2 linked regions of the Callithrix jacchus genome follow. The protein of the gene in region 2 interacts with the protein of the main gene of each other region in a pairwise test. Links are inferred from orthologs where the notes say so. Each region holds a gene or a part of one and is shown on either strand. Other genes may lie near its edges.

Region 1 (4,241 bases), on a different chromosome or scaffold from region 2:
TGTGTGTGAATTATATAAAACAGGGAAAGAAAAGAGGGAAAGTATTGATACTGAGACCATTGGAGTGTAAATTTCTGGAAGCTGAGCCCCTGTCACCTTTATATCCCAACAGGACAAGGAACGCAGTGGATGATTAAAAATGGCTGAAGGAGTATGGAGACTGTTTTCTAAATTATCTTAAGAATCATCTGGGACACTTATTATGAATGCAGATTTGCAGACCCTGGGCCAAAGCTAGTGAATCAGAATCTATAAGGCAGGAGCCTGGAAAGACTTTCATCTATTGCCTCCCACCCCCAGCCACACACACAAGTACTCATTATGCACAGGCAAGTTTGGAAAACAATGGTATAAGCAAAAAGATAATCTGTAATAGTCACTGGGGTGAGCTGAGGTCTCTATGTCATGAAAAGTGAAGTTTGAATGAATTATTATCCCACCAAATACTTATCTATACACCTTCAAAAATGCTAGGCAGGGGGCAGGAACATAATCACAGACTCCAGCATCAGGGAAAAAAGATACAGAAGGAGCATTATAAAAACTAGCCCCACTCAAGTTGCCTGGAAAATTTTGTTCCCACTTCAATCATTTGAAAAGATGTTGGTTGAAGATTCTAGTAGCGAGAAACACCCAAGACAAGATGCCTGGCTGTCCAGGGAGACGTTCCTCCAATGATTTTGGTTGCATTCTGTGGGACAGTGTGTCTAGCACCCAACAGACAGCCTGAAAGCTTGGTGCAGCCGACATCCCATTGGGCCCAGAAGATAGGACCCTCAGGTTCCACAACACACCAGCCATTTACTCCGGAGTAAGGTCACTTGGAACCTTGGGACCCAACTACCTACTCAGTAAAATGGGGTGGGGGAAGGCTACAGAGAAAAGGGGGTTGATTAGGAGGTCTCTAAGGTCTCTTTGAATTCTAAAATACAGTGCTCCTGCTCTCAGTCCCTAATGTGTCTTTTTTTCCCCTATCCCCTTACCAACCTGATATTATTCACAGAAATTTGGAGGAAGGGATAGTCCAGATGCTTAGGACCATACAAATAACCATTCAGAGGCAGGCCCATGAAACACTACATTCAGTGTCCTGCCTGACAGTGTCCCTAGAGAATGGTGTCTCTATGGGACCTTTTAACAAATGTTTCCTTTTTCGCTAGCCTTAATAGATTTCCTCCCCCCAAAAGAGGTTCTAGTAAATTTCAGAATGGGGTTTCAGAAATAGATGTTGCAGAATCTTCAGTGAGCAAAAGCTTAAAAAAAAAAAAAAAAGATATGCTCTAGACTTAAAAGAAAACTAGAGAAGAAAGAATAACCATTTCCCATGAAGACACAAACCTTTCTATTGTAAGAAATGTGTCGAGAGCTAAGTACAAACCTAAACAACTTCCCTCCTCTCCGCTGAGTTTCTGACCGCATCCCACCAAAAAGAAGCGGTTCCTGGAGCCCCCCACCCCAACTCTGCTGAATTAGTCATGATTTCTTCACCTTTGCCCCGACACTCTCCTGATCACTGAAATCTCCTTATTGCCTGCACCCCTAGATAGGCACTGCCCGATGCTTTTGTGAGGTGGGAAAAGCCGGCGCCCAAGGCCAGTACCCTTACCCGGGTTAAAGAGCACGGTCCCCTTGAGGTAGGCGTACTCCTTGGTACTGATTTCCAGACTCCAACACTTGGTAAGAAAGCACTTGATGGCTTGGACCTGGGAGGCGGAAGGCACCTGCCTGGCCTCCGCCGGCGGTGCCAAACGAGGCTGAAGCGTGGAAATGGGCAGTGGGTCGTCGCCCCCCGTCTCACGCCGCCTGGTGGTCAGGATCTTCTGAAGCATGCTGGGCTCTGAGGTTTCCACAGTCTCGAACTGCAGGTGGTCCTGGGCCAGCTCCAGCATGAGCAGGGGTGCCCAGCAGTTACGCACCAGCACTAGCTGCTGGTCCAGGGGCAGCACCTGGAAGCAGGGCAAGTACTTGACGAAGCGCAGCGTCTTCAACAGGCCCGCTGAGGCTGCCTCGCAGACCACCTGTGGATTCTTGAGCACCACGGGTCGCAGCGCACCACAGGAGATGTCCCACCAGGTGGCCCCCGGCCGCTCCCCCAGAGCCGCGGGCATTTGATTTGTGCTCGTGGGCATGCTGTAGAGGGAGCTACCCTGCTGCGGATGGTCTTCACCACAAAAGCAGCAGCGGTACAGAAGAGCCATGGCCTGCCTGCCTGATAGCCCCTCTCTAACCCCTGGCCTCTGCGCAAAGTAGGAGCGGTCCCACCATGCGCCCCCTGGCCGTGCCTCGGGCGCTGCCGGAGCCACGTGCGTTTGCTTTGCGCTCGTGAGCAAGCTGTAGAGGATGCTGCCCTGCCGCGGGTGGTCTTCACCGCAAAAGCAGCAGCGGTACAGGAGCGCCACGGGCCGCCCACCCGGGAGCCCCTCTCTGCCCACCCCAGGATCAGAGCCGCAGGAACAGCCCCAGCACGGACCCAGCCTAGCCTCGGGCGCCTTCGGTGCCGCGGACGTCTGCTTTGCGCTCGTGAGCATGCTATAGAGGATGCTGCCCTGCCGTGGGTGGTCTTTACCGCAAAAGCAGCAGCGGTACAGGAGCGCCACGTTCCGCCCGCCCAGCAGCCCCTCTCTGCCCACCCCGGGCTCATCGCCGCACGAACAGCCCCAGCACTGATCCCCCAGCCGCGCCTCGGGAGCTTCAGGAGCCGCGTGCCTTTGCTTCGCGCTCATAAGCATGTTGTAGAGGATGCTGCCCTGCCACTGGTGGTCCTCGCCCGCCATGGCCCGCGGCGCCGCAGCCCAGTTCTGCCCAGTGGCTGCCGCCTGGGACCTATTTATACCTAGCGCGCACGCAGGCGCGTCGGCCGCCTCGGTCTGGGCAAGGGCGCGGAGGCGGGCAGGGGGGCGCGGCGCTGCTCTCCGGTGTGTTCGCCCGTGACCACGGTGGTTCGAAGGGGCGGGTGCTCCTTAAAAGCTGGAAATGAAAAAGGAACAGCAGCGTGGGAGCTCCTGGACACTTCCCTCCTTCCTCTCATTACCCCTTTCCCTGTCTCTGGAAGACCGCGGGAGAGTGAGCGCCTGGACGCTGTTGCAACACTTTCCGTTGAACCCTCGCATCTCCTTTTTTTGGGAGGGCAGGGGTGCCTAAAAGAGGAAACATCTACTTCTATGCTCCTTGTAAACTTTCATTAAATGATCACAGTTTGTGTGACTTATATTTTGTATATGGATAGGGAGGTCTCATTTTCTGAGACCTTGAGAAATATAGAACGTAGACTAGCATCATATGGGCAGTCGGTGGAATTGCCCAATTTCAGGCTCCAACCAGACCTTCTAACTCTGAATCTGCATTTTAACGATGTCCCCAGGGATTCACATGCACCTTGACATTTGAAACGCACTGGTCTAAATATGCTATCATAAGCGCTCAGTTTAATATCATCAGTATTTATAAGCGCCCACTATGTCCTAGATGCTGTGTTAAGAGAGCTGGGGGCAGCGAACAGGATATGAAAGTGCCTAAAACTTGGGAACATAATATAATCACAAGGGGATAATATTGTCACAGTGAGAATTGTTTTTATTTTAATACAATTTTTTTCTCTTAACTTTTAGGTTCAGGGGTACATGTGCGGGTTTGTTATATGTCAATTTTTGCTTGTTGTGGGGGTTTGGTGTACAGATTATTTTGTCACCCAGGTATTAAACATAGTACCCAGTATTTTTTCTCATTCTCTCCCTCCTCCCACCCTCCACCTTCAAGTAGGTCCCAGTGTCTGTTGTTCCCCTCCTAGTGTCCATGTGATCTCTTTACTTAGCTCCCACTTATAAGTGAGAGCATATGATACTTGCTTTTCTGTTCCTGTGTTACTTTGCTAAGGATAATGGCCTCCAGCTCTATCTCATTCTTTTTCTTGACTGCAGTGAGAAATTTTGATTCTTGTAAAAGTAATTCGGTAAACGTGTAATTAGCATTTCTTTTCTCACCCTTCCTAAGTGAATAATGATAAGTACAAGCATGAGGAAGCCTGGATTCATTGGTCTTCACTTGCCACACAGCTGTGAAGACATGGGGCAGGGAAGGGTATTGGTATATTCCAGCTTGTATAGAATCCCTTTTACTTTTTCCCTCCATCCCTTCCTCCCTCTTTCTTTTCTTTTTTTGTTTTTCATTTACTTCCTTCCTTCCCTCCTTCCTTCCTTCTTTCCTTCCTTCCCTCCTTCCTTCTTTCCTTCCTTCTTTCCTCC
Region 2 (3,500 bases):
TGCCTTCTAGTTTGATGTTGTAGAAATGCTGCACGGCCTTGGTAGAGGTCTGCCTCAGGAGCGGCAGTGTCATCAGCATCTTGCCAGCTCGACGAGGGTCTTCCATGTGCTGGCCAGCTTCATAATCCTGTAGCGCCTCATGTAAGACATCCTGAAGCTTTTGAACGGCTTCAACATCTTCTATGTGCATGGAGTCTGCGCAATGAAGCAAAAGATATAAGTCATCACATTAATAACAAACCCATATAGTCTAGAGTTACAAAATTAGTTATTTTTGAACTTCTAAGTTTGAAACTGATCTGTTCAGAGTCTCACATTTCTACAACCTATTTCTACATTTCCTTACATAATTTCAAATACTAACGTGGAAGATGGGAATTATTAGAAAAGATCAATTATTTAAAATGTGTATTTTTCCTCTTCAGGCTGAGCAAGAGAAGGCTTTCTTCTAACATATTATAATCTTGACTATTTTATTCATTGCCTCATCCAGGTATATATTCATTCACTCAACAAACAACCATGGAAGGCCATCTATTAAAAGTATTATCCTTAGTGCTGTGTAGGGGAAGGTTGTTTAAAATTATGATATTGCTTGCAAAAAGCCAATATTTCCCAAAAAGGAGGAAAAAAGTTGATGACTAAGATCCTAAGAACTCCATGTGAATGCATGGAATCTAGCACTATACAGAAATCACAATAAATTATTTATCCTTTTAAGATATTTAATGTTCTAGTATCAGTTCATTAAAGCATCCTGACATAGTCTTCTTCCCTGATTAAAAACAAATGGTATCTTCAGATCACTGAGTTCTGAAATATTTTTCACATTTGTAAAGGTGAACTTTACCCTTAAATGACAAATTTGAAAATCTAATTCAATCAAGCAAAGAAAGGGTTAACAAGGTTGCCACAATTATTCTTGTGAGAAATGTGAGATGTGGGGAAAAAAATAAAAGTTACAGCTCCAGCTCTAAAGCAGACACTTAATTATATACAAGTTTGAATCATTTAGCACGTTTTATTGATTCTGATGACAGTTTATCTGTTAATTACACATAATGGAGTCTTTGGGGGATTCTTCATGTTTAATAATTCTAGTTCTCTGAGAATGCTGAGCTCTAAGATATATGTAGTTAGCCTAATCTTTCATATAATTCAAACATAGATCACATGAACAAAAAGAGGGAATGTAATTTAAAATCAAGTGGCTAAACATATAATAAGAAATATGGCAAAGTAATTAAAAGAGAGATGGATATAACTAGGAACAGATCTTAAAGATGTATTTGTATTTTATTCAATGTTCTTTTTTTTCCTTTACATTGGCATTTGAGTCATTAGTGGTCACATCGTTGGTGAACTGACCACTATTCACAATAGGTAGTTTAATGACAACTCCGTAAAAATTTTTTGAATAATCTGGAATAAAGTTGCTTATTGCTCAACACTCAATTTCTGCCTGGCAGAGCAAAAAGGAAGGAATTCTTCCAAGTGGGAAATAGTGTTGATAGTAGTGCCCTGGAGCAAGACTCAGGTCACTCCCCAACATACGCTTGGCCTTTCCCTGGGGATTGTTTCTACCCAGCTTCTCTCCAGTCTGGTTCCTCTCAGCATGGCAATCTCATCCACCTCCTATAGTGCTCTTAGAAACAAACAAACATAATTTCTAAAGTTGTCTAAGAGTTGGTGAAGTTAGGGACAGAAAACACAGTCATAGAGATGATGGCAACATGCTCTGATATTCTTTCTCTCTAGTTTTGCACTTTATTGCTACCTGAAGGAAAAATGGGGGGCATGGGGAATCACTATGGCGAGTCTTTAGGTAGACAAAAGACTGCAATAAGGACCTTGTGCATGAGGGAGCAGAGATGAGTTGGACTTTCCCAACTTATCCGGAGTCTAATGATTAGCTCTCTACAGGAAAACAGGAATAGATGGAAGGAGAAAATGGGAATTACACACTGCAGTGAAAAGTCAACCTTGAAATACCTATTTTCCAACTAGACTAAAACACACCAGAATAAAAATAATACATTTACCAGTTATTTAGCACCTATTTCCGGTGAACATGGCCTCATTTTACCTCCCCAAACCCTAGAAGACAGGTGGCACTGGTAATACATGTCAGTCTCAGGTTTAAATTCAGGATTCTTCAAATCAATCATGCTGCTGGAATACAGAACACTAAACATGCATTCCCTTAAAAAATGAGATGGACTGTTCTCTAAACACATCCCATTCAAACTCCCATCTTCATCAGCCATCTTTATAACATTCCTAATGAAGACATTGCCAGGCGTATATTAAGTACGTAGATTCTCCTTGACAACAGGCAAAACTAATTATTGTCTTTTTAAAATTTTCCTAAATATGTCTCCAAATTCTATCCTGTGGTCCTGTTCTAGTAGGAACAATACGGGATAAACTTCTTTTTCCTACATGGCATATCTTTAAATGCTTGAAGTCAGCTACACAGTTACCTACCCCTAGTCTTGCCTTTCCCACTACTCTTGCCCGGCAGGAGATATATTATAGGATGTCAGGGGAAATGAGGCGAGAACAAATAGCAGAGAGATATGCTCACAAACAGCAATTAAGACTTCAAACTATTCTTTAAAGGCTGTGATTTAGCATGAGAGATTTAAAAATGATTTAATCAAATTACTATGATAATTTAACTTCCCATTTGCAGAAAAGATTCTAACTCATTTTAGCTTTACCCATTCTCAGATCTGCTAATACTTTAAATGCAAACTCACTAAATCTGAACTATTTAATTAGACAATGATTCAGCTGGCAGACTGCTGAAGAAAATATTAATCTCCATTAGGGATCCTAGTTCAAGTTCTGGATCTGTGGTTTTAATCTCTGTTTTGTTCTTTTGGTTAAATTTACATGTTGATGCCAGGCTCAATAGAACTGGTATTAATGTATGTAATTATTTAGTTTTCATAGTTCGTGCTAGTTTCTTTTAAACTAGGCTTTAAAGGAAATAGTCCTAGTGTTTGTGCTAATGGGAACCAGCTAAACTTAATAGCAATCATGAGTTTATGAACTAACTAGACAGGAAACACTGGGTGAGGTCTTAAAAAACTTGGTTACTGGCCCCAAGTCTAGTAAGTCAGAGACCAGAACTAGGATATCAGCATTGCGAAAAATCTAGGTAGTTCTACTGCCAAGCCAGGATTGAGAACTACTGCATTAGACAGTAAGACAAACAAATACTATTCTGAAAGAATCAAGATTTCAAAAGATAACCAGAGTGTCTATGACTGAATTTAAACCTGAGACTGACATGTTACCAGTGCCACCTGTCTTCCAGGGTTTGGGGAGGTAAAATGAGGCCACGTTCACCTGAAATAGGTGCTTAATAAGTGACATATGTATTTTTTATTCTGATTACATAGAGGCAACACATATAATGGCCTCTATATTAAGTCTCAACACCTAATAATAAAATAGAACCTTATCATAACATCCAATATTTTACTCTGTGA

The links. The genes of interacting proteins can lie anywhere in the genome.
Region 1: the proteins of ESRRG (region 2) and NR0B1 interact in binary tests that used the Homo sapiens proteins (3 or more experiments, as listed by UniProt). The link is inferred for Callithrix jacchus from reciprocal best matches to the Homo sapiens genes ESRRG and NR0B1.

Annotation. Positions count from the first base shown.
Region 1 is NC_133524.1:31,194,502-31,198,742, forward strand, and holds the start of NR0B1 (nuclear receptor subfamily 0 group B member 1), read right to left. Parts: upstream 2,801-4,241; 5' UTR 2,775-2,800; coding exon 1,607-2,774; intron 1-1,606. UniProt on the Homo sapiens protein: Nuclear receptor that lacks a DNA-binding domain and acts as a corepressor that inhibits the transcriptional activity of other nuclear receptors through heterodimeric interactions.
Region 2 is NC_133520.1:12,667,716-12,671,215, reverse strand, and holds part of ESRRG (estrogen-related receptor gamma), read right to left. Parts: intron 196-3,500; coding exon 1-195. UniProt on the Homo sapiens protein: Orphan receptor that acts as a transcription activator in the absence of bound ligand. Binds specifically to an estrogen response element and activates reporter genes controlled by estrogen response elements.